Stegostoma tigrinum: one gene and its partner. The protein of the gene in region 1 interacts with the protein of each later gene in a pairwise test. Links are inferred from orthologs where the notes say so. Each region holds a gene or a part of one and is shown in the gene's direction. Other genes may lie near its edges.

What was found.
Region 2: the proteins of mapk8ip3 (region 1) and ldlrap1b interact in binary tests that used the Homo sapiens proteins (3 or more experiments, as listed by UniProt). The two-hybrid records come from large-scale screens. The link is inferred for Stegostoma tigrinum from reciprocal best matches to the Homo sapiens genes MAPK8IP3 and LDLRAP1.

What each region holds. Positions count from the first base shown.
Region 1 is NC_081376.1:48,615,502-48,631,867, reverse strand, and holds the start of mapk8ip3 (C-Jun-amino-terminal kinase-interacting protein 3), read left to right. Parts: upstream 1-7,188; 5' UTR 7,189-7,541; coding exon 7,542-7,841; intron 7,842-16,366.
Region 2 is NC_081377.1:25,459,971-25,476,710, forward strand, and holds the start of ldlrap1b (low density lipoprotein receptor adapter protein 1b), read left to right. Parts: upstream 1-8,152; 5' UTR 8,153-8,402; coding exon 8,403-8,487; intron 8,488-8,982; exon of another isoform or gene 8,983-9,051; intron 9,052-16,740. UniProt on the Homo sapiens protein: Adapter protein (clathrin-associated sorting protein (CLASP)) required for efficient endocytosis of the LDL receptor (LDLR) in polarized cells such as hepatocytes and lymphocytes, but not in non-polarized cells (fibroblasts).

The sequences.
Region 1 (16,366 bases):
CCCCGGTGAATTTTATTCCGGTGAGGGTGTTGTTTATAAGTTTGTGTGTCTCCTCTAGTTTGGTCCGTTTGATGATGACAAAGGTGTCGTTCACGTAGCGTATACATAGTTTTGGTTGGATTAGCAGAAGGGCCATCCCTTCTAGTCTTTCCACCACTGCCTCAGCTATGAGTCCAGAGATAGTTGATCCCGTTGGTGTCCTGTTGATTTGCTCGCATATTTGGCTGTTGAAAGTGAAGTGCGTGGTGAAGCACAGGTCCAGTAGTTTGAACATGTCTGTGGCGATGGTTTCACTGGAGTCTTGCTCTTGTTCCAGTAGTGTTGCTATTGTTTCCCTTGCTAGTAGTATGCCTATCGATGTGAATAGGGCAGTGACATCAAACGATATCATGGCCTCTTTGTCATCTATCTGTCTTTGATGGAGTTGAGGAATTCTTGGGCTGAGTGGATAGAGTCGGGTGACTTGTTGACTAGGTGCTTGAGTCTCCTTTCTATTTCCTTGGCTAATCTGTGTGATGGAGTGCCTGGTACGGTGACTGTGGGCGTAAGGGGTTCTTCCGGCTTGTGCACTGCTGAGCTGGTTTATTGTTTCACCGATGTTTCGTTACCATGCTGGGTAACATCCTCAGTGCAGTCTCCGATGAATTGTCGGTGTGTTTTCCTGCCTGGCTTTTAAACTCTGGGGTCTGTTGCGATGCATTGCCTCACTTCCACTTCTCCTTCGTAGTGGAGTGTAGATGGGGTCGCGTTCAATGTGTTTCAATGTGCACGCTTCATGAAGTGCCATGCTTCTAGGAATTCCCGTGCCTATCTCTGCTTAGCTTGTCCCAGGATTTTGGTGTTGTCCCAATCCTTGTAGATAGAGACGAGCGAGTATCGGTAATGTCTTTTTGTAGCCATTGGTGTTCACTTACTGTTGTTGTTAGTTTCCTGTCTTTCTCACAGTCTCTGCAGGTGATCTTGTAGATGACATTGGTCCTGTCCATGGCACTCCAAAACCAGAGACCATTACTTAGTTTTAATTAACAATAGGTACTCTAGGTGACAATTCTGCCAAATAATGGTTCTTATTACTGACATGACAGAAAGCAACAAATGAATTGAGCATTGCAACATGGTATAACAACAACACAAATGGCAAACTGAATACAATTCTATTATAATGAACATTAAAGTTATACATCTGGTAATACCCTCAAAATTTGGATATAGATTTTAAAGGATACAGATTCTAGTTAACATTCTGTCCTTCAATCATATTAGTCTTGAATGATCAGGGTGAGATGAAGGATAATTAATCTCAAACTTCAATTATAGCTTCTACTTCTAATACCTAATACAGCAGTTTGAGAAATATGGCTTGTATTTCTCTGAAACTATACAGGCAAAGAGCAATTTGGTGCAGTTGAAATATGGAGCATTTAAAGAGGATTATGACCACAGATGTAATTGCAGAAGGGTCATATGCTCATTCTTCCTTGAAAATCTGTAATTCCACCATCATAGTATTTAACAGTCTCCTGAGTAGTTTTTGTCCTTGTTACTCAGATTGAAGATCCTGAAAGAGATAATGAGACCAAACATCAGTTCTGAATTAATTTACATCTAGGGGCTTTCATCTTAAATCGTTATTTAATTTGAAAAAAAGGCTGCAGATGAATTTTCTCCATTTTACTTGCTATCTTAACAATGTCTACAAAGTTGCCTTTCATTTGTATCCTTTTCAGAGCCTAGGTTAGGTTTCTCCTAACACTCGGGACCATCCTTATGGCCCTTTCCTATAATACTTGCTGTGGCTTACGTCTTGTGGTCAGTGGTCTAGATTGATCACAGTGCTTAAGATTGTCATAACATTCAAGGCTATGGGCCTAGTGTGGGAAAATGGTATTAGTATAGATAGGAGTGTACTTTTGGCAGTACAAAACTAGATGGGCCAATGGGCCTATTCTGTACTATGTTATTCAATGAAGGTGAGGTCAGCTCAGAGCACTATACTGCTTCATAATGTTGATTTCAGATTTTAAAGACACAGTAATTTTGCTCAGCATTCTGCTTGCTTTGTTGCTAGACAGAGCACAGCTATTGGAGATGGTTGCTTGTCTTTTATGTATCTCATGCAGCATAAGGCAGCTGCTACTATTAATAATTACCCACAATTATGGAAACGTAAACCATTCCACGCCCAACTCAATATAGATCTGCCAATCCTATAAAATTATTCCTTAATTCCATAATCCTATTCTTAGCAAATTATGTCTGGCATTTAATCAAAAGATTTTTTAATAGTCTAGGTATATGTTGTCATCTAGGTTTTCATCGATCTAAAGATAGATCCTTCATTTAAAAAAAGTCAACTTCATGATATAAGATATTTTTTGACAGACAATCTGTAATTTTTCTAATAATTCCTTCTTTTCCAAGGTGAATTATTACAAATAAATTGGTAACTGTCACAGAAATATGACTCTGACTAGTCTAACTTTTGAATAATGCACAGCTTTCAGAGATAATTTGACAATGCTTCAATATCGTGTGATTTATAACTTTACAATCCAATGTGGTAAGAAGTGTTTGGTTTATATATGTATATATGTACTTTTAAGACTGTGAATTACTGGTTTACTTCTCTAAAGGATTTTAAAAGCAGCTATGTCAGACAATCCTTCTAAAACAGGTAACCTAATGCAGTATGTGTTGGAAAGTATGAAGCTCCTGTAGTGTTAATGGAAACTGTTTTTTACTGTGTTGGTTTATGACAGGGAGTATAATCATTGAATGCCATTAATTTGCTTTTTGTTCAAAATAATCAAAGGTTGATGTTATGCTAGAAAACCCAGAGGTTGTAAATTTTAAGCAGTTTGGAGGAGACAATTGGGGTCAAAACCAGATGCAGTATCTCTCAAGTAATAAGTATGAGACAATTCAAGGAAAGCAGTATAAATGTTTGGCTGTGAAACTTCCAAACCAGGAGTGTTTGATTAGAAATCTGTCAGGTATTAAAAGCTGAGAAAGCCTAAGCTTCCAGCTTTGAGAGTATTCATTTAAAAAGACTTCACAGTTCACAGGATGGTGTTACGGAGAAACAGGTAAGTCAAACTTAAAGGTCAGAATTCACACAACACCAGGATATAGTTTAACCTGATGAAGGAGCGGTGGTACGAAAGCTTGTGATTTCAAATAAATCTGTTGGACTATAACCTGGTGTTGTGTGACTTCTGACCTTGTCCATCCCAGTCCAACACCAACACCTCCATACCAAACTTGAAGATTTGACATAAAGGGGTAATTTCTTCAGATTTGAGTCTCCATGATGGTTAGTGTCAGGAAACAGTATATGTTGTATTTTACTATGTTTTATTCTGCATTCAAATTCAACCTTTCAAAATGAATCACTTCACACTTTTCTGGGTTGAATTCTATCTGCCACTTCTTTGCCCAGCTCTGCATCCTGTTAATGTCCTGTTGCAACCTACAACTCCCCCCCAACGTTCACGTCATTGGCAAATTTACTAAGCCACCCTTCCACCCCCTCATCCAAGTCATTTATAAAGATACCAAAGAGCAGAGGTCCCAGAACAGATCCCTGCAGAACACCACTGGTCACTGAGCTCCAGGCTGAATACTTTCCATCTACTACCACCCTCTGTCTTCTATTAGACAGCCAATTCTGTATCCAGACAGCCAAATTTCCCTGAATCCCATGTCTCCTTACTTTCTGAATAAGCCTACCATTGGCAACCTTATCAAATGCCATGCTAAAATCCATATACACCACACCTAATGCTCTGCCTTCATCAATGTGTTTGTCACATCCTCAAAGAATTCAATAAGGCTTGTGCGGCATGACCTGCCCCTCACAAAGCCATGCCAACTATTTCTAATCAAACTGTGCTTTTCTAAATAATCATAAATACTGTCTCTCAGAATCCTCTCCAATAATTTGCCCACCACAGAAGTAGGACCGACCAGCCTGTAATTCCTAGGATTATCCCTATTTCCTTTCTTGAACAAGGGAATGACGTTTGCCACCCTCCAATCATCTAGTACTACTCCAGTGGATAGTGAGGATGCAAAGATCATTGCTAAAGGGGCAGCAATCACTTCCCTCACTTCCCATAAAACCTTGGGTATATCCCGTCTGGCCCAGGGTACTTAGCTATCTTCATGTTTTTCAACATTTCTAGCACATCCTCCTTCCTAACATCAACATGTTTGAGCATATCTGCCTGTTTCATGCTGTCCTCACAAACAACAAGGTCCCTCTCACAGGTGAATACTGAAGCAAAGTATTCATTAAGGACCTCCCCTACCTCTGTATACAAGTTCCCTCCACTATCCCTGATTGGCTGGCCTCATATGAGGTCTGTCGCCACTACTCTCCCAGGCAGTGGATTCCAAATACTAGCAACTCTCTGAGTAAAGAATTTTTTCCACATCTCACTCCTAGCTGTCTTGCAGACAATCTTGAAATTGTAACCCACTGTTACCAACTTATAGAAACTGAATATCCATACATACCAACTTATAGAAACTGAATATCCTTCTTTACCCTGTCAAAATCGTTCCAATATTTTAAACACCCCAATAAGGTCAACTCTTAATCTTCTCTGCTCCAAGGAAAATAAGTGCAATTTCTCTAATCTTTCCTTGTGTCTAAAAGCCCTCATTCCTGGTATTATTCTAGTAAATCTCCTTTGCATGCTGTCCAGGGCTTTAACATCTTTATTTGAATAAAGATGCCCGGCACTGAGCACAATAGCCCGAATGTGATTGACATCCTTTTAAAGTAACACTTTTACACCTCCCTCCTGACATGCAGTCTGGTTATGAGGGCTCTGTCACAGGTTTTTTAATACTTGTTCACGCGATGAGGATGTCGATGTCTAGGCCAGAGTCAGCCACATTGCTGTGGGTCTGGAGTCACATGTAGTCAACACCTGGTAAGGATGGCAGTTTCCTGAAGGATATTCGTGAATCAGGTGGGTTTTTCTGACAATTGACAATGGTTTCATGGTCAATATCTGACTCCTAAATTCAGATTTTAGGACTCTAACTTCCAATCCTAACTGACTGGAATGCTTGTGCCCAATTCTAATATCCTTTCACTCCCACCTTTGATCCCCTCACAGAGGAGACATTAGGCTTTTAATGTGAGATGTGGTTTGTGTTATCCTGCTGCTGACAGGATAGTGTCACCCCTGAATCCCTGTGAAACCCCACAAACAAAAGCCTCCAGCCTTTTTCTGTTCATTACTTACCTTGTCTGAGCTGCTTCTTTCCTTTCCTGCCATCATTGGCAGTCGGTTAGCTCGGTTGGCTGGACAGCTGGTTTATGATACAGAGTGACCCTAACAATGGAGGTTTATACTCCTGCACTGGCTAATGTTACCCATAAAGATCTCAGCATTGCCCCTTGCCAGAGGTGAGGTGATCCTCATGTCAAACTCACCATGAGTTGTCTCTTGCCTAATTAAAAAAGTAGGAATGTGTGGTGATTTTACCTTAACCACCAGGGCAGAGGATGCTGGAGATGAGAAGCAGCAGATGGAAAGAAATTTATTCCCGGTGCATGATGATTGGGTTAATAAGGAACAAGTTGTTCTGCTTCCACCCACTCAAAAACTCACTATCTGTGGCACATTCCTCCTCAATTCCAGGCACCAGCGTAGATACTAACAAGTGGGACACTGATGGTACCTCCTGCTTTTAACTGATGACACAGTCAGGCTTGGAGGGTTTGAGCTATAGGGAGAGGCTGAATAGGTTGGGGCTATTTTCCCCTGGAGCGTCAGAGGCTCAGGAATGACTTTATAGAGGTTTGTAAAATCACGAGGGACGTGAATAGCCAAGGTCTTTTTACCCGGATAGGGGACCCCAAAACTAGTGGGTAGAGGTTTAAAGTGAGAGGGGAAAGATTTAGAAAGGACCTGAGGGGTAACTTTTTTCACACACGGGGTGGTGTGTGTGTGGAACGAGCCAGAGGAAGTGGTGCAGGCACTTAAAGAACATCTGGATGGGTACACGAAAAGAAAGTCTTTAGAGGGATATGGGCCAAGTATTGGCAAATGGCACTAGGTCAGATTGGGATGTCTGGTCATTGCAGACAAGTTGGAATGTTCCAGACGAGCCTCCTCATGTTAAATTCCAGGTAAATTGATATGTTTCTTAGGGATTGACTGGGGATGGGGAAGGTTGACTAGATTCACTGGAGAGGTAATGAAATTGAAATGAAGGGTGGTTAGTCACAGAGGAATCTGGTTGCCCCTCTGGGTCTTTCCTCTACTCCAGCTCTGTCCGATACCTTTCCTTCCTTTGATCCCATCTTTGTCATGTATTTACTATTCTCTTAGATCTGATCTCTTCATGCTTAGCAAAGTACTGTTTTATCTCTCCGGGAAGGCAGTGATGTAGTGGGAATATCACTGGTCTAGCAATCCAGAAATGTATATTCTGGGGGAGGGGGAGAAATTCATTATCCCACTGTAGCAGATGGTAAGACAACTCAATTTGGAATTAAAAGAAGGTCTACTGATAATCATTATTGATTGCTGTAAAAACACATCTACTTCACTAGTGTCTTTTAGGGAGGAAGGCTGCTGGCTTTATCTGATCTAGACTACATGTGACTTCAACCCCACAGCAATGTGGTCAACTTCTAACTGCCCCATAAAATGACCTGGAGAACCAATCTGTTCATGGCAATTAGGGTAACCAACACCAGCCTTACCAGTAATGCCTACATCTACAAATAAAGTGGATTTTGTGGATTGTGCTGGTGGTTGCAGTTGGAGGCTGCCTGATTGCAGTTTGCTGGCTGCACTGGGAAGCTGCCTGATTGCAGTTTGCTGGCTGCACTGGGAGGCTGCACTGGGAAGCTGCCTGATTGCAGTTCGCTGGCTGCACTGGGAAGCTGCCTGATTGCAGTTTGCTGGCTGCACTGGGAGGCTGCACTGGGAAGCTGCCTGATTGCAGTTCGCTGGCTGCACTGGGCAGCTGCACTGGGAAGCTGCCTGATTGCAGTTCGCTGGCTGCACTGGGAGGCTACACTGGAAAGCTGCCTGATTGCAGTTTGCCGGCTGCACTGGGAGGCTGCCTGATTGCAGTTTGCTGGCTGCACTGGGAGGCTGCCTGATTGCAGTTTGCTGGCTGCACTGGGAGGCTGCACTGGGAAGCTGCCTGATTGCAGTTTGCTGGCTGCACTGGGAGGCTGCCTGATTGCAGTTTGCTGGCTGCACTGGGAAGCTGCGATCTCCCACAATGCAGACAGCCTGCCCTGACGTCAGATGACAGCGTTCGGAGCTGCTTGTGTTGTGGGGGCGGAGGAGGTGGATATTTTTTTGAGGATTAAGGGTGAGGGAGGGACCGGACTGTCCGCTCGCTATTGTCTGCAGAGAGAGAGAGGGGAAGGAAGGAAGGCTCCAGACCTAACCCCAACCCCAGCGGCGGCGGAGCGGGGATGCAGTGAGAGCGGCTCAGCCCGCACCTCCCCTCTCATTCCGTGAGCTCACTGCCGGGGCTGTATCCTTCTGCCGGCGGCCAGGATGATGGAGCTGGACGATGGCGTGGTCTATCAGGATGACTGCTCGGTGTCCGTCATGTCCGAGCGGGTCTCCGGCCTCGCCAACAGCATCTACCGGGAATTCGAGAGGCTCATCCACAAATATGACGAGGAGGTGGTGAAGGAGCTGATGCCGCTGGTCGTGAACGTGCTGGAGAACTTAGACTCGGTGTTCACCGAGAACCAGGAACACGAAGTGGAGCTGGAGCTACTCCGGGAGGACAACGAGCAGCTTCTGACTCAGTACGAGAGGGAGAAATCCCTCCGAAAGCAGGCAGAGGAGGTGAGTGCAGACAAACGAAACAACCCCCCCCTACCCACTTTACATTTATCACTGCCTCAGATTGATCGTTGTCTTCTATCTCTCAAATGTGTCAGCGCCTGAAGCCCCTCACGTTCAGAAAACACTTCATTTTACAGAACCCTCACATTTCAGTCCCTCAGGTTAATCAGACCCTTTATGTTTTGAACTGAATCAATTTTTATATGTCCTTCAGTTTCTCAGTTTTTCATCTTTTTAATTGTTCCAGTTCCCCCAATTTTCCAGTTCCCCCAATTTTCCAGTTCCCCCAATTTTCCAGTTCCCCCAATTTTCCAGTTCCCCCCGTTTGCAGCGTCGATTGCTTCAACCCAAGTGCGTTAATTTAATCATACATCTATTTTTCAACATGGTTTGTTTGATTACTGTAAACAGCAGTAACTTTTAGAACTAAATATTGAATTAAATAGCCGTTCTCTCCCTGAATGTGTCTATGTTCATGTAACATGTTTCTTAGTTACCGCATTTCTGACCTGCCTCAAAACGGCCCGTGCTTCGGGCGGGTCGCTATCAGTCGCTAATCGTCGATTAATTTAATGAAAGGGATTTTATTTCTCGTCTCCCCTGATTTAACCAAACAGAAAATATAAGCGCCGAAGAATGAAAGTTCAGCTGAGTAAAGTAACGCTGAATTGAAACACTTGTTTGTTGTGCAGAGGCTAGCACAGAATAAATGTTGCCATTTTGGATTCCCTTGTCAATCTGATGCGAGCGAATTGATCCTTCTGTGTTGTTGCTCTCCACCTAGACACTTTGTAGCGTCTGCATTTATGTTTACATTGGCGACTTAAATGTGTTTTTTGTTGTTTGAGGGGTCCATCTCCATGTGATTTGAGCTCTGTGCTGTGAATGTATGGGCCAAGCTGCAGTGGGAACAATAGTCATTTTTTTTCGCTCTGCAGATTTCTGCAAAGATCTTGGCACCTTTTCAGTGCTTCTTAATGTGGTAGTTAGGACAAACGAGGAGGGTGGATTCAGTTGGGGGTGGGGGGGATGTCTAAAACACGGGGAGCCATGTTGGATAGATTCCAGGCTGAGAGAGACTGGAGGGGGTGTGGGCCTTCACTTGGGCTCCTCATAGGTTTACCCTGTAAAAAGAAATGTAGGCCTTCAGTCCAGTAGATGAGAAACCTCCAAGGAATATATTTAACCCAGTAGAATCTGGAACAATGCAGGCTGTCACACTGTTAGTAATGCAGAAATGGATAGTCTCGCATTCTGCAGAATCTAGAAACTTCTATAACATAGAAGGAACTGCAAGTAAGCCTGGAATGGATATATCGAGTCTAGACTGAGTGAGTGTGTTGAATTCCAAACTGAAGATGGAGTGTTACTATTATAATGATGAATAGGACAAATAATCAGAAAGCACACAAAAAAAAACTTGTGGCTCCCCAGTGGATGCCTAACGGGCTACATGGTTTGATATTGAGTTAGAAAGGAAGAAGATTCTAGACTTTATCCCAAATGCGTGCTGAGTTAGCTATTTTTGACTAAGGTAATGGTAATAATCCGTCTTCCTTAGCCTGAGGAGCCAGTGTTTCGTTTCAGTCATTCACGGGTTATGAGCATCACTGGCATGTATTGCCATGCCCGATTTGCCCTGGAGAAGGAAGTGGTGAGATGCCTTTTTGAACCATGGTGTGTGGGGGCATCAACAGTTTCCAGAGTAAGGAAAGGGGAATATTGGGCCAATTTTCATTCTTGTGATTCAGTTAGTGACCTCCACCAGTGATTGATGTAGAGGGCAGACATGAGCAATCTTAGCTCAGGTACCACCCATTTTCCCCACCAGTCGGGGGGGGGGTGGGGAGAAAAGGAGTTGCAATTTCTTTGAAGCTTTCACAAACTCAAGATGTCTCAATTCTTCACAACCGATGGACTTCCTTTAATAAACAAATGGTTCTGGGCAGTAAAGATGATGTTTGGTACGCTTGCCATCATTTGCCAGTGCATTGAGTACAGATGTTGGGATGTCATGTTGCGGCTGTACAGGACTTTGGCCAGGCCATTTTGGATTACTGTGTTCAATTCTGGTCTTCCAGCTGTAGGAAAGACGTTGAACTTGAAAGAGTGCCGGAAAGATTAACAACGATGTTGCCAGGATTGGAGGGTTTGAGCTGTGGGGAGAGGCCGAGTAGCCTGGGACTACTTTCCCTGGAGTTTGAGGTTGAGGGGTGACCTTATAAAATCCTGATGGGCTTGGATAGGGTGAATAGCCAACATCTTTTTCCCCAGGGTAGGGGCAAATAAAAACTAGAGGGCATAGGTTTAAGGTGAGTGGGGAAAGCTTTAAAAGGGACTTGAGGCAACATTTTCATGCAGAGGGTGGCATGTGTCTGGAATGAGCTGCCAGAGGAAATGGTGGAGGCTGGTACGATAACAACATTTAAGACATTTTGGCTACATGAATAGGAAGGGTTTAGAGGGATATGGCCAAATGCTGGTACATGGGACTAGATTAATTTTGGGATATCTGGTCAGCATGGACAAGTTGGATCAAAGCATCTGTTTCTGTACTGTACGATTCTATGACTGTATTTACCCCTTTGAGCCTGCTCCACCGTTCAGTAAAATCTGATTGTGATTGTAATTGTAACTGCAACTCCAGGTTCCTGTCCACTGCCAATAACCCTTTGCCCCTTTACTTGCTAACAATCTACAGAATGGAGCAAAAAGTCCTGGCTGCTCTGCCTTTTAAAAATAGTCAAAATCTCTGCTTCCATTACCTTTACCTTGGAATAGGGTTCCAAAAATCCTCAGCGAAAAATGCACCGCACTTCAGTATTAAATCGATAGCCCTTTATTTTTGAACAGTGATCCGTAGTGCTCCACGAAAGGAAATGTCCTTTCCAAGTCCAATTGGTTGAGCTCCTTTTGAAGTGTAGTCATCATTATCAGGTTGGAAACATGATGGCTATTTTCTCCACAGAAAAATCTGGCAATATAACCAGGTAATGGTTTAAGTGATGATGTTTGAGTGTTTAATATTGGCAAGGGCACTGGGGAAAGCTCTACCAATCTTACTGAAATGGTGCTGCAGAATCTTTTAAGTCCACTTGGGTAGAGGGTAGATGGTTCCTCAGTTTAATGGCTGATCTGAAGGACAGGATTCCTGATGGTGCCACACCCCTGCAGGAACATCAGCCTGGATTTTGTGCTCCGTTCTATAGACTGGGGTATGACCACACAGTCTACCAGTGCAGAGGCAGGAGTTCTACAACTGATGGGTAAACGACTTCCCTAAAATTAGTGTCTTGGATCATGCAGAAATGATAGCCACTTGAATATGAAACCCAAGGAAGTGTGTTCCAATGTGAAACATTGTAATGCGCATACTCGAATTGTTTTTTTTCCTCCCACCCTAAAGCTGGAAACGTTTGGACCTTAAGAAAATTAGCAACTACCAAAGAGAGAAGTAATGGCTGTGGGGTAGTTTTCTAAGTGTGGTCTGTGGTGGGAAACCCTGATTATGGTCAGCAGATATTGGGAATATTGTATGTGTCCTTCCAGAGAGTGTTATCCTGCAATTTCAGTCGACTGGAAGTAGTAAACGGGATAGCTGAGAGTTCTGACAGCTGACTGTGACATTGCAAGTGTCCCTAGGTAATTGCCCTATGTATTCCTGCCCTATGTATTCCAGCCCTATGAACATTTCAGAAATGTGAGCTTTACTGCACCATACTGATGTGCTGAGTCTCCTACTTCTGGCAAAATTCGGAACCTACAAGCCTCAGTGGACTGTGCAGGTGCTTTTACAAGGCCTTGTCCCTCCCTGGCATCCAGTTCTTCACTCCATCCAAAATCTCTGTTTCTTCAATTTCAGTTCCTTGCACATTCCCTGAGTTAATTGCAGCACCATTAATATGTGGGCTTTCAGCTGCCCTGGACTTGAATCTTTGAAATTTCCCTCCCTAAACTGTACCATTTCTCCTATTCTGTCAGAGATAATGGGAACTGCAGATGCCATTTCTCCTATATCTCTTTCTGAAATACTCCTCAAATGCTATGCCTTTAATCAAACTTCTGATCATCTGTTGTAATATCTCTGCGTGTCAAATTTTATTCGATTATGCTTCTGGCCACACTTTGGGCTGTTTTATTATGTTGAAGTTATTATCTGAAGGGAAGGTGTTGTTATTTGAAATAGAAAATCAATAGGACTTGATTTTCTCTGATATTTTAATCAAGAATATTGTCCTTAATACATGAAATATTATCATTTCTATAACTCATAATGACAATCGTTTGTTCGTTCACTTTATAGTATATAGTTTTATTTTAGATATTTTATTTTAGTTTCATTGTTTTTTTAAAATTATGTCATAGCTAGCAATAGTTTGTTTACTTCCTACTATAAATAGAATGTGGTTAAGAAATTTGGTAACTGTGGTTAAGTTGTTAATGACAGTGCCTGAAATGAGAACAAAAAACCTAAATGATACTGCAGTTATCTAAATAGTTTTTTTTTATTATCAAGTTAACAATTTTTATTCCGCAAGCCATAATGCACTGGTCTGACCTGTTCCTTACCTATCCATTTAGCCACTGGGTAAGTTTAACAAGGGCTATGTGTTCTTTCTCTTTCTTTTGGATTGGGTAAAATATATAGAGCTAGGTTTCCATGGGACAGCTGTTAGTTGTTTGTATGGAAGGTTTGAGTTATGAGGAAAGGCTGGATAGGCTGGGATTTTTGTCATTGGAGTGTAGAAGGTTGAGGGGTGACTTGATAGGAGTTTACAAAATCATGAGAAATATAGATAATCTGCTTCAGAAGGCATTGTGGGGGAAGCACTACTAAATATTTTTTGGGCAGGGGGTTAAGTCTTGTCAGGCAGGAAAATCAAATGTTTTTGGGAATGCAAACAGAGCAGCCATAATCTTGTTAAATGGCAGTGGATCAGGTTCAAGAGGCCATATAGCTTACTTTGCTCCTAGTTTGTATTATACATTTTAAAATATTCATCTCTTAAATAGGGTTCAATCTAGCCTGGTTTAGATGTGCAATCAGTTGGATCTGTACCTAAGTTGACTAGTAATAGATTTCCATGGGCTGGTTCATTTTAAAATTGAGCATCAAGTCAGTTCATTTTTAGTGTTTCTGTTTATTTTTCCAATTTGTAACTTACGGATAGTGGGATGCAGGGGTTAGTGCACTACATTGTGAGAGGCGGTAGATTTGAAGGAGGCAGTTTTGTAATTACAATATACTTTAGGCAAAGTGTGTTCAAGGGCATAATAACACAATTTAATGCTTTTAAGAATGGCACATGGCTAGGATGAATGAATGACATGTACTTCAATGATGTTGTAATAGCTGCAGAAAAGGTTTAACATCTAATACGTATGAAGGAATGCTATGACCCAATTAATCCTTTAGCTCAAAGAGGGCTAATGGTATTCCATGCTTACTCTGTCTGTTCATAAACCTTTGCCAATGCAAATAAATTCCCATTTGCATTCCCAGGAATTGTCTCTGTCATGTAGGTTTTAAAAAATCTGCAGAAATGCTAACATTTAAACCAGTTTCGTAGACTCAGGCCAAAACCGATATGCCACTAGTTTAAAATCCAAACTGTTAAGATACATATCAAGCACACATTTTACATTTCAGAAGCTGACAATTTCCAAACAAGCAGAGCTTTGTTTGCCAGAAAGCAAGGGATGCATTGGAGGAAAGGTAGGGGAGAACGAAATGCTGCGTTCCAGTGTGGAGGTTGTGTCATTACTCAAGATTGGCAAAAATTAGCCTTTTTGACTTAGAAAGGAAATACCTGAGAGCAAACCTGTTTGAAATAAAGAAGATTGTCGTGTCAATGGGAGAAGTAAATCTGGAGTCGTCTTTTGCATTGAACAATGAGTGAAGCAAGGGTCATGGGTTCATACCGGTAGAAGGTAAATCTGACACTGTAATTCACAGAGCAAATTGCACTGGCAAAGGGCTTCTGGGAAAATTAGTGGAAATGGAAATCTTGGAATCTGGGGGCAAAAAAGTCAGTTTACTATTAGAATTGTAGGTGACAGCATCATGCTGGGTAAACAAACTACGGTAAAGCCAGTTGACCTTCTTTGGTAATTGCTTTATGATCTGAACATTTTCATCTCTAACTGGGTTTACTCCAGTGTGGTTTAGATGATGATCTTTTGGTGTGAATGGCCCTCCTAAATTATTTGTTTATAATCGGGGTTACTAGGATGGCTGAAATGGTAATTTCAGAAATCTTCCTGGCCTCGCTCACTATGATGAGACAGAGAGAACAGAGGGGTGGTTAGTACCTGCAAAGTCCTGGAAGTTAGATTTTGTGGGTTTCCTGTTGAATTTAGTTGCCCATCCTCTTAAATGCTTTCAATGTGTCCCATTTGGGAATCAGACATTGTATAATTACAGGTAAGCTTAGTGAACCAGAGCAGGGACATCAGTTTTGCCCACAAGCTGTGCTGGAAAGTATCAGTCTACTTCCTGGAATGGCAGGATTGATGTCTGAAATGAAACAGGATTGGTTACGACTGTATTCATTGGCCTACAGAAGAATGAGGGGGCACTCATAGCAATTTATAAAATTCAAACAAGGCTGGACAAAGTAATTGCAGGAAGTATGTTCCCAGGGAGTCAAGAACTGGGGTCACATTGTAAGGGTACGGCGGAGGGCGTTCGGGATCGAAATGAGGAGAAATTCCTTCACCCAGACAGTGGTGAGTCTGTGGAATTCTCCGCTGCAAAGTGTTTGAAGCCGAAACATTGAATGTTGGATGTAGTTCTTAGGCTGAAGGGATCAAAGGCTATGGGGAGAAAATAGGAGCAAGGTATTGAGTTGGATAATCAGCCATGATTTATTGAGCAAGGAGCAGGTTTGACAGGCTGAATGGCCTGCTCCTGCCCCTGTTTTCTGTGTTTCTAATACCACTGCCATCCAGTTGTTGTTACCTGTGACAACCAAGAAATCCTCCAGTGTTAAATTTGGAACTCTGAGGAAGCAATCTTAGACAAGCAGCCATATTAACATACTTCCGTGACTGGCCTGTTTCTATGGAGTATGTTCACCTTCTGCTGCCAGTTTTCCTCTGAAAAAATCCAAACATTGGAGGAGTTTGGGGCCAAGTTTTTTGTTTTGGTTAAAATCTTCAGCACTAACCTCGGTCTTGCACTGTCACTCACATGTTGCTGAGGGTTAAAGTTAACCTGTGTTACTCTTGGTAACGTTTACACAGATGCTGTGAGAGAATCGTCTTCCAAGGTTCGGGTGGTGATGCACTGCAGGAGCAGAGTTTAGGGAGCACTGGGTTCCTCTCTCCACAGATTCTGCCTGACCTCAGTATATCCAGCATCTTCTGTTTTTGTTCCATATTTTCAGCGTTCGTAGTATTTTGCTCCTGTTTCTGTGCTCTGCACGCACTCCTTGTACCTTCTGTGATGTGGCATAACATTTTGATGTCTTTCACCTTGATGAGCAGAGTCTTTCTCCAAAAAGTAAGCACTTTGGCACCTTTAAGGGTTATGAATTGTTATGAAAGATTATCTTTGTTGTGTTGAACAGAACAGTGGCCTGTGATGCTGCCAGACAGTCAGACTTCGATATTGAGTACCACAAGAGACATGTTCCGTGTCCCTGATTGCATCCTTTGGGACACTAGTCATCTTCACTGCTATAAACAGCAATCTTACTGAGCATGAGAGCAGGCATGGGCCATTCAGCCCATCATTCCTGCCCTGCAATTCAATATGGTCATTGCTGATAAAGCTTCAATACCTCTTTCCTGCACTGTCCCCATATCCCTTTGTTATTGAAATATTTCTAAATAACGATCTCTATCTTAAGCATACTCAGTGACAGCTTCCACAACTCCCTTTGTGATTTTTTGGAATTTTCTATCCAATCTTATGAGTGGGGAAAAAGAAGTTATCTGCACATCTGCCAATGTGTCATACTGTATCCACTGTGCCCGGTGTGGCTTTCTCTACATTGGGGAAACCAAGCGGAGGCTTGGGGACCGCTTTGCAGAACACTTCCGCTCAGTTCGCAATAAACAACTGCACCTCCCAGTCGCAAACCATTTTAACTCCCCCTCCCATTCCTCAGATGACATGTCCATCATGGGCCTCCTGCAGTGCCACAATGATGCCAACTGAAGGTTGCAGGAACAGCAACTCATATTCCACTTGGGAACCCTGCAGCCCAATGGTATCCACGTGGACTTCACCAGCTTCAAAATCTCCCCTTCCCCCACTGCATCCCAAATCCAGCCCAGCTCGTCTCCTCCCCCAACTGCATCCCAAAACCAGCCCAGCCTGTCCCCACCTCCCTGACCTGTTCTTCCTCTCACCCATCCCTCCCTCCCACCTCAAGCCGCACCTCCATTTCCTACCTACTAACCTCATCCCGCCTCCTTGTCCTGTCCGTCTTCCCTGGACTGACCTATCCCCTCCCTACCTCCCCACCTATATACTCTCCTCTCCACCTATCTTCTTTTCTCTCCATCTTCGGTCCGCC
Region 2 (16,740 bases), on another chromosome or scaffold:
CTGGGTCCCTCGAACAGGTATTGAGTGGCTGACAATCCCTTCCTCTGGGATGCAGCAGGCAACCCCATGTGGACATACCATCCACGAAACATCCTCTGTGGCAGCATTAAATTCATACACAATTATATTGTTTCCTTTACCTATTCACATGTGCTCTATGTTTACATTGTCTCTCATTCTGGCTCCTAAAGTGCATTTCTAATACTCCCTGAAATTTAATCATAAATGGACAGCTTTTCAATGAGCACATTAAATTAAAAAAAACTGGAAACACTCAACAGGCCCTTCAGAATCTCTAGAGGGAGAAAGACGTCAATGTTTGAGGTTGATCTGCCCTGATGGAAGGCCACAGACTTGAAATGTTAATTCTGTTTCTTTCTCCACACATTCTTCCCAACCTGCTGAGTATTTCCAGCTTTTGTCGGCATTTATTCTGGATTTCCAATATCTACAGCTTTTTGCTTTTGCACTGACATTGTGACGACAAATTCTCAGGCAAGACTAGTGCAAGGCTCAGCTCCAACCCCAACATCAGTCCTCAGATCCTCATGTTTTGCAACTTTTCATATGTGTCCAGGGTATTCTGGGTCTGACAGAGCCCAGGATGCTGATGTCACCAGCAAAATCCAATTAAAATATTGATATGTAGCTACCACTCCCAAAATGCTGGTGCTCTGTGCAAAACACAGATGGCTAAAAAAAACCATGTACTAACAGGGAATTCTACTCTCTGAGTCAGCCTTGGCATAAAACAAGCCCACCATTAGGCAATGTTTAGTTCCAGGAAAGACTTGGAGGCTTACCCATGTGAGCCAAAAGCTAGTTTCAGACCTCTACAACAGATGTTGCACACAATGTCTAAATCAATCTTTCCTTGCAAGGTTACAGAAATTTTGAGGTTGTTACACAAACAGCTTTCAAAGTTCTTTCAAGTACAAGGCAGAGCTTGCTGAATCAGTGCCAAATGCTACCTCAGTGTACAAGCTGTGACCTGCTAATCTTGTTTTTTCAGCAATGTTTTTTTGTCCAGTTTTAAATAAAAAATGTATTTCCTTCACTCTTTCATGAGATTTGGGCATTCCTGACAAGGCCAACATTTGTTACGAAACCCGAGTTTTATTTTTCTAACATTATAATCATAACGCAGACTAAAACACTCACTTTCTCTACTTTTACATGTTCAGAAATGTAATACCTTAACAGGATAATGGTGACAGACATAGTGAAAACCAGCAATGAAAAAGAAAAAGGTGCCACCTAAACTATGTTAATACATTTGATTAGCAAGTTCAAAGTAAAGTACCAAAGGTAGAATCACATTCTATCCAAATGGTGACAAGTAGCTGACCTGCCATAACCAGCATCACTGTGTTGTAATAGTGTAGCTGTCTCATGGAGATTTGAGAATCAAATCTTGGCGTCATCTGGAGTGCTTCTTCTATACTGTCCTATGGCAATGTAATGGCAATGGTAATTGTTTTGATAATGGGAATTGGAACTGAATGTGTAACTGCCACTGTCTGGTGAGGCAGTTTGATACTGGGCTTTCCCAGCTCCTCACACGAATGAATCCCAGCAAATTCACTTACTGGGTGCAGCTGACTGTGCAGAAATCTAAGCATCAGGATCGCTAATGTTGGTCTATCAAAATATTTTAAAAAAACCTAGCAACAGCAGACAGTGTTTGCTTGACTGCTTTTAGAAACTAGTAATGTGGCTTTCCAATGCCTACATTGTGCAGTGGACCTTCCACAATAGCTCCAGAGAAAGCACTCAGACAGGTTTTATTTTTAACATTACATTTTGTCAAAACTGTTCATTCAATAGTTACACTTCTAGATTTTACCTTTCCGAGGTTGGATCTATAATCATATTTTTAGCTGTAATTGAAACTACATGTAACTGCATGAAAAGGGAGTGATAAAGGCCATTTTTTTAGATCTAAATGTTTATCAACTGAGCCATAAACTAACATTATTGCATATAGTCTTTTCTAATTCAACATTTCTAGAAGTCATAATTTCTAAATATTATAGACATAATAAGCCCTCAATAGCAATGTAAATCATCAAGTTAAATATATAATTCTAAAACATAGACATCATAGAGCTTTGATTTGTGAGGCGTAAGGTTTTCAGCAGGGAAAGGAGCTCTTCAGACCATCGTGTCCACACCAACCATTAAGCACCTACTAATCAAATCCTATTTTCCAGCTCTTGGCCTGTTTTCCTGTAACGTTGTTTGCTATGGTGTTTCAAGCGCCCATCTAAATACTTTATAATGCTCTGAAGGTTCCACCGCTACCATCCTTTCAGGCAGTGAGATCCAGTTAGCTACAAGCCTCTGGGTGAAAACCTTCCTGCCAAAATCTCCCTGAAAGCCCCTGCCCCTTACCTTAATCTATGTCCCCTTGTGACCGATCCCTCTACTAAGGGGAAAAGTTTCTTTCTATCAATGCTCCTTAATTTTATACACCTCAGTCAGGTCCTCTCTCAGCTTTTTCTGTTCTCAGGAAAACAACCCCAGCTGATCTGCTCTCTCTTCATGGCTGAAACTCTTTCATTCAGGTGACATCCTGATGAATACCCTTTGCACTGTATCTAAGTGCAGTCACATTCTTTCTATAGTGTGGTGATCAGAATATGAACAGTATTCCAGCTGTGGCCTAATTAATGTTATATACAGCTCCACCATAACCTCCTTGCTCTCATATTCAATTCCTTGATTAATAAAGGAAAGTAATCTATATACCTTATAAGTGATCTAATCTACTGTTGCCACCAAGGTTCTAGGGACATGTACACCACTCTGATGCTCTGTAATTCTTAGGATCTTACCATACATTGTGTGCCACCATGCCTTGTTAGTCTTCCCAAATGAACCACCTCAAACTTTTCAGGATTAAACTAAATTTGTCATACTTCTATGTATTTGACCAGCCCATCAACATTGTACTGCAAAAGCAATTTAAAATTAAGGTGTAATTCTTCAAATAAAATTAGTTTGCAAAATTCTTGTTGCTTCAGGTAATGTTTCTTCATAATCTGTAGCAGTTAACTGTAAACCTGGTAATCATACAGGGCATTGCTGGTTGGGTGAGATGGTAGCTCGGTGATTAGTGCTGCAGCCTCACAGCACCAGGGATCTGGGTTTGATTCCATCCTTGAGAGACCGTCTGTCCAGAGTTTTCATTTTCTCCCTGTATCTTAATGACTTGGATGAGGGGATTGAAGGATGGGTCAGCAAGTTTGCAGACGACACAAAGGTCGGAGGTGTCGTTGACAGTGTAGAGGGCTGTTGTAGGCTGCAGCGGGACATTGACAGGATGCAGAGATGGGCTGAGAGGTGGCAGATGGAGTTCAACCTGGATAAATGCGTGGTGATGCATTTTGGGAGATCGAATTTGAAAGCTGAGTACAGGATTAAGGATAGGATTCTTGGCAGTGTGGAGGAACAGAGGGATCTTGGTGTGCAGATACATAGATCCCTGAAAATGGCCACCCAAGTGGACAGGGTTGTTAAGAAAGCATATGGTGTTTTGGCTTTCATTAACAGGGGGATTGAGTTTAAGAGTCGTGAGATCTTGTTGCAGCTCTATAAAACTTTGGTTAGACCGCACTTGGAATACTGCATCCAGTTCTGGTCGCCCTATTATAGGAAAGATGTGTATGCTTTGGAGAGGGTTCAGAGGAGGTTTACCAGGATGCTGCCCGGACTGGAGGGCTTATGTTATGAAGAGAGGTTGACTGAGCTCGGTCTCTTTTCATTGGAGAAAAGGAGGAGGAGAGGGGACCTAATTGAGGTATACAAGATAATGAGAGGCATAGATAGAGTTGATAGCCAGAGACTATTTCCCAGGGCAGAAATGGCTAGTACGAGGGGTCATAGTTTTAAGCTGGTTGGAGGAAAGTATAAAGGGGATGTCAGAGGCGGGTTTTTTACACAGAGAGTTGTGAGAGCATGCAATGAGTTGCCAGCAGCAGTTGTGGAAGCAAGGTCATTGGGGTCATTTAAGAGACTGCTGGACATGCATATGGTCACAGAAATTTGAGGGTGCATACATGAGGATCAATGGTCGGCACAACATTGTGGGCTGAAGGCCCTGTTCTGTGCTGTACTGTTCTATGTTCTATGTTCTATCTGCGTTAGTTTCCTCCGGTTGCTTCAGTTTCCGCCCACAGTCCAAAGATTTGCAGGTTTGGTGAATTGGCCATGCTAAATTGCCCACAGTGTTCAGGGATGTGCAGGCTAGGCGAATTAGCCATGGGAAATGCAGGATTGTAGGGATGGGGTGGGTCTAGAAGGGATTCAGAGAGTTAGTATGGTCTTGAAGGGCTGAATGGCCTGCTTCCACACTGCAGGGATTCTATCATTCTTTGATTCTAACAACAACCTGACTCCCTGATGCAACTCATGTGACTTTATCGTTAGCTACACCAAAGTTGTTCGGAAACATCCAATTTGTTGACGAAGATATGAGTAAGATTGTTATTGAAAAGGGGTCAAAATATATTTGAGCTAAGAAGAGTTTTCAGAATAAAGCTTCCTAAAAGATGATGTTAATAGTTTAATAGCATGTCTAGATACAACTGGAAAATCAGAGGTGGTTCATGTATATGTTTATACAAATATTGTGAAGTTGTTCCGTTTGCAATGTTATCACAATATCACATACATGTTTATCACATTGCAAAACGAAAACACATGTTACATCATTAAAAATATTACCAGCCATTTCCTTTAATGTATGTGTGTGAACACAATTCTAGATTAATATAACAGGAACTGTAATTAGTTTTGCATGGAATCTAGCGCAGTATTGCTGTACTTTGTTGCAAACAAAATGGGTAACAATTGTCTCAAATGTGCTGAAAGTTCAAATACACTTTAAAAATTATTCTGCTTTGCCATTGGTAATTGGAAAGCAATGGAAAGCATTCATTATTATAAAAATAGTTGTCAAATCTAAAGATATTAAAATTCTTGTCTAGGGTAAGCAGGCAAATACATTAAGTTCCATTTGCAAAAGTCACAGCAGCAAACGTGTGCAGTTATTCAGAATGGTGACGCAACTTAAAAAGAAATACTTTTAAAGGATATAACTAGAAACAAGTTTTGCAGTCTGTGATTGAGTGATTTCTCACAAATTGAGGATTTCAGTATCCAACTGAAAGTTGAGAAGATGGGAACAAAAGCGGAGGTTGCTGGAAAAGCTCAGCAGGTTTGGCAGTGTCAGTGAGGAAAAAAATCAGTGTTAACATTTTGGGTCTGGTGACCCCTCCTCAGAACAGTTCTGTACGACTGTGATTTTTTTTCTTTACTGACACTGCTGGAAATGCTGAGCTTTTCCAGCAACTTCTGCTTTTGTTCCTGATTTACAGCATCTGCAGTTGTTTCAGTTTTCAGTTGAGAAGGTGGGAATGGAGTTGGGGTGAGGTAGTTTCAAGTTAATTTCAGTAAAATGTCATCAGTGGCTTAGCACAGAGACGTTTTATTTTCTCTAATGGTTGGGTAGAGGTGAAACAGCCTCACAAACTCTGGCCACAATTTGATTAGGTGGAGACAATTGTGAAGAGGATACAATTCAATAGCATCTTTATGTTGATTGATATTCTAAATCAAAACTGGGTACTGATGGTGGTGGTGGAATTGGAAGATCCAATACTTTCCCCTTGCCAAGAAAATCAAAATAATATACTAATACTCTTAACTTTGTGCATTTAATTTCAGCTGTGGAAGGTATCAGTTATAATAGGCAGCTATTTCTTCATGTACGTATTCCATTTTTAGTCAGATAATGAATTGTACCTCATATGACTGGATCTTGCTTCTTGGAAAAAAAGATATATGCTCACTTTAATGTTGTTTATTATGTCTTCTGATTCCTAAATGTTCAAAATAATCTACCTATACCAAATGGATCATAGGGTTCAAAAAGGCAACTCACTGTCACCTCCTCAAGGGCAACTGGGGACAAGCAATAAATGCTGGCCCAGTCGGGCCAGAACCACATACCATGAAAGAAGTTAAATTAAAACTTTGATACTCAAAATATAGTATCAGAGATAATGGGAACTGCAGATGCTGGAGAATTCCAAGATAATAAAATGAGAGGCTGGATGAACACAGCAGGCCAAGCAGCATCTCAGGAGCACAAAAGCTGACGTTTCGGGCCTAGACCCTTGAAGGCTATTGTGTGGACAACAGCAAGTTCCAATTGTCATTGTTCAATATGATTTAAAAAGGAAATTTATACAATGAGTTGATAATTTCTCTAATTATTGAGCAGATTTCTATTTATCAGAATCTTGTCTGAAATTTCAAATCTTGAATTGGAATCTGCAGTGAAAATGATCTCTCGTAAAATTTGAGTGCAGCATTTTGTATGTATGTAGTGCATTGAGATTTCAGGTGAGCTATGGCAAATGTCTACATGGTGAAAATGCCTGGATAATAGTAAAAATTGGCATCATCCTATTTTTGGCCATGTGTATACCACTACTTATGTTGCAGGATATAACAACTAATGTAGTTTAGGAGCAATTTCTCCCACTTCTCTGAGTCTATTTTATATTCAGTTTTCTCCCACCATAGTTTAATGCTGCAAGTAGATACGAATGAATAGGGTGTGTGCATCTGTGTGATCACTGGGGGCTGATGCACTTATTGAAGCAATTTCCACCTCCCCCCTCTCCCCCACCAACCCCAAACCTGATTGGCAATTCTCTAGTGATTGCATCACCATGCACCATGGTTCCTCCCTTACCAGAAATGGTGTTTCTGCTTCTACATTCACCAGCATGCAATTTCACACCTCCTTATTTGGACCAGAGGAAAAACCCTGGATTGGTGATCACAGGCCACAGATTGAGTATCTATACATATATATTTTCAACAATAAGCCAATGCACATCAATTCGAGCACGAACCCTAGACCTCCTTAAACTGAGGTGAATTTCAATGCAAAAACATTGCGCAGGTCTGGCTATATCTGTTGAGAAAATATGAAAGTTAATGTTTCAACCTACTTGCCCTGATGGTATCAATGAGAATAACACAATCTGTAGTCATGTAGTGTACTTAGCTATTGCAACATCAGGGGAGCTACTAAGCAATAATTTTATAGGCTAGTCACAATTTGCAACATCTGTGACACTTATTTTGTGCCAAAAAAAGGAAAATGGCAACCAAAGCTGTCACATGCTGAAATGCCTCCAGGACAGTGCTTCCCCACCGTGACCCTTCAGTGGAAATTGAGAGAGTGGGTCAGGTTGGCTATGTGTGTATGAGGGCTTATTAGAGAGAAACAAAAACAGAAGTTGCTGTTGAAACTCAGCTGGTTAGGCAGTGTGTGCGGGAAGAAGACAGGGTTAATGTTTTGAGTCCAGTGACCCTTCTTCAGAGCAGTCAGAGAGGTTAAGGTTTAGAAGGATATCATGAAATTTTAACAAACTTAGCACAACCCAGCTTATCGACTAAACCTATAAGAACCCTAAAGAACTGTGGATACTGGAAATCAGAAACAAGAACAGAAATGGTTAGAAAGACTCAGCAGATCTGGCAGCATCTGTGGAGAGGGCAGTTCTGAAGAAGGATCACTGGACTCAAAGGTTAACTCAGAAAGAAGAGTTAATGTTCTGGGTCCAGTGACCCTTCTCCAGGACGCTTCAGTACACAGTTGTTGCCAGACCTGCTGAGTCTTTCTAGCAATTTCCGTTGATGTTCCACCTTACCTACTGACTCTACATAATTTGACAACAACTGCAGTCAAGTTATCTCACAGTTAGTAGGAACTGCCGATGCTGGAATCAGAGATTACACAGCGTAGAACTGGATGAACACAGCAGGCCAGGCAGCAGCAGAGGAACTGGAAATCTGACGCTTCAGGTTTACACCCTTCATCAGAATTTCATGAGTCTTTCTCTGAAGAAGGGTCCCGACTCGAAACGTCAGCTTTCCGGCTCCCCTGATGCTGCCTGGAGTGCTGTGTTCATCCAGCTCTACGCTGTGTTATAATGCAGTCAACTTATCTGTTTTTTTTTTAAAACTGAGCGCTTTCGCTTTAGGGGCTCGGACCTACCGATGAATTATCAACCGTGACCAACCCGTGTGATGACCTCAACGCATTAGTTTACATCCTGTTGGATCTGACAGTTCTGAATTTCCGCGCTGTCCTGAAGGAGCCGACTTTCAACAAGTGACCGGCGAACGCAATGTCAGGGACGTGCTGCGTCATGAGTGGGCGGTAGTGTTTCATATAAATGTCACCTCCCTGAAACTCCATTGAGGGGGTTGGAAAGTTTATGGGAGGTGTCTGAAGGAGAAGAGGAGGCTGACTTGAGGGTTCCAGTAAAATATTTCTGCATTTTTCCCTCCCTTCCGTGGAGAGTAGTTTATAAATAATGGATGCGTTAAAGTCGGCGGGACGAGCGATCATAAGAAGTCCCAGCATCGCAAAGCAAAGTTGGGGAAGTAGCAAACACAAAAGTAGGTTTATTTGCCATCCGAGTTTACGAGCTAGCTTTAGCTGTTCGAAAGTCGATAAAGTTGCTCGGCATAGAACAACTTTGGGGATAGTGTTACATTTGGGATCTTTTGTTACAAATGTCTGTGTGTCTCTTTCCGATTGGTCGGATGTTCCTGGGCCTGAAGTAATTCCACTTTTATGTTTGTCTGTATTTGAAGCTGAAAGCTGAGTAATGAATTCGACGTAAAAGACACGACGCGCGGTTACAAATGGAGACACAGCAACATGTTTCTTGCGGTTGCAACGTGACAATGTGTGTAACTGACCAAAACTGTCAGTTTCACTATTTGTGAATATCTTTTGCACTCCAGTTAATCACTGGCCCTATCCGCCTTGGATTGCTCCGATAGCTAATGATTATTCCGATTATCTATTTTAAAAAGCTGCTTTTTAAACCGGGTTGAAACTGACCGACTCCTCCTCGGGCTGTGACGTAATAGCCCATATTGCGATCCAAATTTCCCAGTTTCTCGAAGGGCCCTGGACGGAATTTTAAGAATGCCCTGGACGACTTTATCAGAGAGGTTATAAACTGCCCCCTTCACTCCAATTCTTGTTCATAACTAACTCATGATGTCCGTTCACTTTTATGGGTCATTTTGGGTTGATGTGCACTGTACTGTAGTGGTTCAATCTCAAAGGCATGTATTGGAGGGGTGTGAGGGTGAAGGGTGCGTTACAGATGTGAAAGTCGTGTGCAATCAGACTCCGAACATCATAAAATGTTCCTGGGGGAATGGTTTGGTCTAATCCTCCCGCGTGCACAGTGTGCGTGAAATTACAGATTGCTTGATTTATGATAGACTTTCTGGCTGCATATATATTGGATACGGTTCACGTGGTGTAACCTGTTTTGTGTGTGTATGTGTGTTTTGGTGTGCTGTTAGCTATCTGCTTTGACCGAGTTTCTACGATTGTTCAAGGCACAAAGCAGTGAAGAGTTTCATTATTGCGTAAGTATCTAAACTAGTGCCTTTCTGCCAGTGAGAATTTCAAGTGAAAAGCTACGGTGGCTTAGTGACTTTGATTGGAGTATTAAATTGTTTAATGCTCATCTTCTGTGAGACCGTGGGAGTAGGGTAGCTCTTGGCTTGTTCTGAGTGCAATGTTGTCCTATTCAAACTGGCAAGAAAGGTGTCAATGTGAATACTTTCATAAAAGCAAAATTCTATGGTGCTGGCAATCTAAAATAATACCAGAGCGTGTTGGAGGATCCCAGCAGGTCTGGCAGCATCTATGGAGAGAAAAATCATGTCAAGTCTCATGTGACTTTTTTCAGAACTTGGAATATTTTATACTTATTTTTGTCTATTACACTGGAAAGACTAGTTCCTTTCTGCAATTAAAATTTATATTATTAACAGTTTTAATGAACTCAAGGATACATGTGTGTATTTTCCTAATTCTTATTTCTTCTTGATCTAATTAATATACTTTGCAAAGTTTTGTGACCTGTGAATAATGTAAATGATTAGTAGCATTTTTCTTTTGATATTTGGAACAATAATTCAAGATAATGACAGTGCTTTTAGGTGTGTTGACCAAAAAAAGTCATTGTGAGAAATTTATCAACACTGGCAATGCAGCACACTTGCAGCATGCATTGGGCTATGTGCCCAAGTCTTGGGCTCGAGTTTGAAACCATAAGCTGATGCTTCAAATTCAAAGACATGCTACCATCAACTCTGCAATACTGAACTAAGTCTTTAGTGAAGTTTTGTTGGGGAATGGTGACTAGTATGGATCGCATTTGAAAAGCTATAATTATTGAAATACATGCTCGAGATGTAGTGTTTTGAAATATTTCACACAATCCTGTTGCAAACCTGTAAGTCAATGTGTGCTGTATTCACCCAGATATCTCCATATCTGATTCAGAGATGGACCTGCATCTGTGCGTAAGACAGCTGTTGAAACATAAACACCACTTTCTGATAAATTAGCACCATTAGGAATCTGTTGTACAGATGTCAGTGTTTAGTTCTTTCCAGCTATTTTGCTGCTAGTACAGCAGCTATTATTAGTTACTACAGTACAAGTGGAAAAATGGCTTTCTTTAATCTGAATGACACATGGATTAATGCTGGAGATGAATAGAATTTCCTCTTCCTTCCTGTACTTTTCAGCATTGCCCTGGCTCGATAAATTATTGAAAAGCAGAATTCTGTCCTGAAGCTTTGAAATAGGTTCAGTAATGAAGCAAAGTTGGGAATTGGGAGTGCTGCTTTAACAAGTTGGAAAATACCCTGATGGAGCAGAAAGATTTGAGTAGATGGGTATTAAAGGCACCTCTTCAGCTTTTTGAAGCAATGTTTGATCTTATTGAAATTTAGTTTAAAACAGCGATTCTAGTTTTATAGTACTAGGATAATTTAATCATTCTAGATGTATAGAATCAGGCAGTACATTAACAGACCCTTCAGCCCAACTTGTCCATGCCGACCAGGTTTCCCAAACTAAACTAGTCCCATTTTCTTGCATTTGGCCTATATTCCCTCAACCTTTCCTATTCGTCTACCTGTCCAAATGTCTTTTAAATGTTGTGACTGTACCTGTCTGTACACTTCCTCTGGTAGTTTATTCCATGCATGCACCACCTCTGTGTGGAAGAAGTTTCCTTTCAGGTCCCTTTAAATCTTTCCCCTCTCTCCTTTAAACCTATGTCTTCTAGTTTTGATCTCCCCTACACGAGGGAAAAGACCTTTTCCTATTTGCCTGATCTATATCCCTTTTATAGAGGTTTATAAAATTTGAGGTCAGCAATAACAACTAACTGAACTAACTCTGAGCACAGTATAAGGATTACCCTATACCGATGTATACTGTGCAGTTTTGAACATTTTATTTGTCCACAGCCAACAAAGTATCCTGAAATGCTACTTTCCTAAATCATGACCATCTGAGCGGAGTAACTGTAACTGCGTAGATTACTGCAAATGCAATGTAAACAGAACTGCACCAATGTGAGCAAGGTGCTAAATTAATACCACTTCCAGTAACATTTAAGGGTGGGAAGATTATTTAAACTGCACTACTGAAATTGTTACTCAAAGGTTGCCTAACCATTGGTTCCATTAAATCTGCATGCTGTGTTTAATGTTATGGGTAGGGGGAATGTTATGTGTTCTGCATATAAATAGTCAGCTATTTAAACCATATGCTTGGTTATATCCAGCCCAGCAGAGCCTGTTACTTTTGTATAACCTTCTGTTTGTGACTGGTAAACAGAGCTATATAATCCTCTTGCTTTTACAGTTTGCCCTCATTAACTCCATGTTATGAATTCAGTTGGTTTAAAATAAACATGGAACCACGGAATGCTCCAGCTAAAACAATTTCGAAAGCCTATCTTCTTTTTAATAGTCTTGTTAATGCTGAATGCACCAGTTAAGGACCATTGGGGTCATCATGCCACTTTGGCATATGGATACTTTTTGGGAGAAGGAAAATAAGCATTAAAAAAAATCCTGCCTGTAATTCTTTATCATTTTGCCAAATCAAAATCTCTATTAAATGATCCAAGGTTTGAAATGTCTTTCTTTTGTTCACAGGATATAGGTATTATTCGCAAGGACAGCGAATATTGCCCATTCCCAGTTGCTCTTGAAGGTGGTGGTGAGTCACTTTCTTGAATGACTCTAGCCCATGTGGGCAGGTACACTCTCTGTGCTGTTAGCAACGGAGCTCCAGGATAATGATCCAATGACTATGAAGGAAGGGGGATATGGTTCAAAGTCAGGATGCTGTAAGACTTGGATTGAACTCCCAGCTGGCAGTGTTTTTGTGCATCCACTGGCTTTGCCCTCCAAGGTGGTAGAGTTTGTGGGTCTGGAAGGTTCTGTTGATCAAGCCTTGGTGAGTTACCTCAGTGCATCTTGAAGGTGATAAACTTGGTTTCCACTCTACCCTAATGGTGGAGGAACAGAATCTTTGTGGCTACGGTGCCAATCAAGGAGGCAGTTTTGCCTGGGCTGAGGCAAGTTTGTGTTGGCGCTACACTTGTGGAGGCAAATGGAAAGTTTTCTACCTCCCTCCTGACTTCTGCCTTTTGCAGATGGTGCTCCAGGCTTTGGGGGAATTGGGGAGTAAGTTACTTGGTGCAGAATCCCTAGCCTCTGATCTGCTGTTGTAGCCTTAGCATGTATACAGCTGGTCCAGTTCAGTCTCTGGTCAATGGTAGTCCCATGAATGTTAGTGGGGACCTGAGCATTGTTGTAAGTTTAAGGGGAGATGGACTGTTAAATGCAACTAATCAGCTCAAGCCTGGATGTTGTCTATATCTTGCTGTATGTAGACAGAGGCTAATTTTAATAACTGAAGTCATGAATTGTGCTAAACATCCCCCTTCTGAAATTGTCTGAATATGAATAAAGCAAGATTTTATTGGCATCTATTATTGAGGTAGTTGGTATGCTAAATAAGTGATGTGCTAGTCAGTAGAAGTACAAATGATAGTGTCCCTACCTCTGGAACAGGCATCCTGTGTTCAAGTCCCACCTGCTCCAGAATGTGTATTAATATCCAAATAGGTTGATTAGAAAATATTTTGTGTATGCCAGTGAATTTAATGGCTAGAACTTGTTTATTTGAATTCCAACACCTATTGTAACAAAACTTTAGAGACTAATCCAGTGAATTTGTTACTGTAGCAACTAATGTTCGAAATTATTTTGTTACAATTAATACCATCAGTTCTCTTATGTCGTCATTCTCCAGTTTTATGAACTTGTGGGAGCAATATCACTGAGTTGTTGGGCCAGTGACTCTTCAGAACTTTGCTTTGTGTCATTCTTAGCCTTGGGTGCATTTTTAGTGTTTCACTAAAGTGATCAGGAATAAGACTTGATATTCTTTGCCTCTAAACTATGGAATTGATTATGGAATTATAGAATTGCAATGGTGGAGGTGAAGGCTGTTTAGCTTGTCTGTCTGTGCTGGCTTTCCTAATGAGAATTATGACTGAGTGCCATGGTTTTTTCTCTCCTAACGCATGTTGTTTCGACTCAAATAATAATGTAATTTGAGAGTTTTGTTTGAAGCTGCCTCCATGCTAGGCATTGCATTCCCAACTATTTGCAGTGTGGAAAGTGGGTTTTTCCCCTCAGAACACATTTGCGTAAGTTAATTTTAATCTTGCTCCCTCAGTCTTTGGTCCGTTTTCATAAGAAAGAATTTCTGTCTCCCTGCCTTTTTGTCCAAACACCTCGATTTTGAACACTACTCTAAAACTTCCTCTTAGCCTCTTTCAAAGGAAAACAGCCTCAGCTTCTCCAAAGTATATTATAACTGAAATTTCTTTTTCTTGGAACTATTCTGGTTAACACTTTTTATACCCTCTTTCCAATGTATTCACATCCTTCCCGATCTATGATGCCCAGATGCACACAACACCCTTGCTGACATCCAGCCAGTGTCTTCTAGAAAGTCTACAGCTCTTACCAGCAGAATGCTTCACCTATTATGTCTCTCCACTGACCTTCAATGTGTATACCACTTCTGTAACCATATCCTGTTCAAGGTCATTTACTCAACACAAACAAGGAAATACACTTGGATTTATCCATTCTGTAAGTCTCCTGCCTTTTGTAATATTGGTTCAGTTGTACCATTTCCAGCTCTTCAGTCTGAAGGCTGCAAGCTGATGTCCTGTTTCAGGATTTGAGCAGCTAATGCAGTCCAACACTGACATGGAGGAAGTGCTACATTGTTGGTGGGACGGTGTTTCAAATGAAACATAAAACCAAGAACCAGTGGACGTCAGGTTTAAAAACAAAACACCATTTGTATTTGAAGAGCACGATTGTCCTAGCTTCTCTCAACTACTAAAACAAATTTGTTGGTCACTTGCCAGTGTTCCTTGTGGAAATTAAAGTGAAAACTGGCTGCTGTATTTTCCTACAAAATAACAAGAAGTCAAAAAGTAGTTAATTGGCTATAATATGTTTTGGGGGGGCTTGAAGATGGAAAGTGTGGTTTAGGAATACAAATACTCCCTTCTACATTAAACAACTAGTTTTGATTGAACCAGCACTATTGTACACTGTAATAATAAAATGGGAGGCTGGATGAACACAGCAGGCCAAGCAGCATCTCAGGAGCACAAAAGCTGACGTTTCGGGCCTAGACCCTTCATCAGAGACCCTCTCTGATGAAGGGCCTAGGCCTGAAACGTCAGCTTTTGTGCTCCTGAGATGCTGCTTGGCCTGCTGTGTTCATCCAGCCTCCCATTTTATTATCTTGGAATTGTCCAGCATCTGCAGTTCCCATTATCTCTGATACTATTGCACACTGTACTCTCTTTAAGAGTGAAGTAAACATAGCTTTTTTTTTAAAATGCTTACCTATATTCATTTGAACTACCACTGATGTTTTCACACAGTCATCTTTTCTACACCATGTAGATGTGTTTTAATCTGTTTTTTTAAATCTAAAGTGGTGTGAATATTAAGTGTGTACTACCATCACACCCACTTCCTGCCATGAAATTTGTTTATTGCTACCTGGCAGAATTGATTTTTAAAAATGTGCTAAAGTTAAAATTAGTAATTGGAAAATGACACTTTTTTTAAGAATTGGTGGAAAATGCTCAGATGCTAGTATGAATAATAAAAACAAAATCCACAACTACCTTTTTTTTACAGTTTTCAACATGCTGTTATCTCAAATTTCTTTAACAATTGGTTATTATGCTTTTGAAAAATTAGTTATCGTTTCTTAATACGGATGCAACTGCATAGAAACTCAGTAAAACACTTGCCCAATTTCATTACTTGTTCTCATCCTGAGCCAAAATAATCTTGATTTACTTTAAGTGTTGTCAAATGGTCAAGTTGAACACTGTGTAAATCTTCCTCTTATGCACTTTGGCCAGAGCCTTGTCATGCTAGAAAATTGTATGTACAGCCTGTAATTTTCTGTCCATTAAATTGTATCCTGCCAAAGGCATGAGCAAGAAGCTGGATCTACTATGCTCTATTCAATGTGTTCTCTGAAATAAGGCCTCTAACAATAAATAACATTAGAAATTATACAAGCTGAATGATTCCTTGCCATTCAGTTGCTAGCCCTAGGGATTAGACATCTTTCCTTCACCTGAATTTGATTGGAGTGGGAGGAATGCTTGTTTTTAATGTTTTTGACTCCAGCAGTGACACACTCTGGAGACATGATGTTGTGTGAATGCAAAGTAAAGCTGAAATCAATGTTGAGAATGATTAGCTCCTTGGAAAAGGTACCTATAAATCGCTGAATCTAGATTCATAGTAAAAATGCACACTTAGGTGGGAACTGTAGGTTGGGTGACAAGAAAGCATGCTTCAAGACAAGTTGATCTCCCAAGCATGTGGGGAAGAAAATGGTAGATGAAGTCATGCATATTTTAATTACATAAATAGCCGTAGAAACTAATGTTTTGAGATGTAAAATGTAGAATCTCGGGCATTAAAGAATCTCTCCTTCCTTTTTTTTTAGATTTGTTTATGATGACCTTCTTGTGATGCATCCCTTGATATATCTTACAGTGTAGTGGAGCAGTGTTTATCCCAGTGTGAACTTATATTTACATTGCATCTGCTAATGTTAATTGAGGGCTTAAAAACTGACAGAACTGCAGATGTTGTAAATTGGGAACAAAAACAGAAATTGCTGGAAAAGCTTAGCAGGTCTGGCAGCATCTGTGAAAGAAGAAAAATTAGTTAACATTTTGGGTCTGGTGACCCTTCCTCAGAACTTGTAGTTAGGAATACGATGGTTTAAATGCAGAGGATCGGGTAGGGAGTAATGGGGGCGGGGATAAAAGACAGACCCTAAAGAGAAGAGCAGTTGGAGTGACAAAGGAGTGCAGAATGATCTGGCTAGGAGGATGAATAGCTGGTAATGGGGACTGTTAGTGACTAACAATAGCTAGCCTGCCATTACACGCTGATAACAAGGCCTAGTGTGTGGGGTGGAGGGGCTAGGACGTGGAAGATTTTAGGCCCTAAAATTATTGAACTCGATTTATCGAGTCTGGAGGGCTGCAGAGTCCCCAAGCAGAAAATTAGGTGGTGTTCTTGCAACTTGCACTGAGCTCCGCTGGAACAGTGCAGCAGGGGACAGGGTGGCATGTTAAAGTGGCAGACAACTGGAAGCTCAGTATCCTCTGTGCAGATAGAACATGAATGTTCTGTGAAGCGGTCATCCAGTTTACACTCCATTTTCCTGATGTCGAGGAG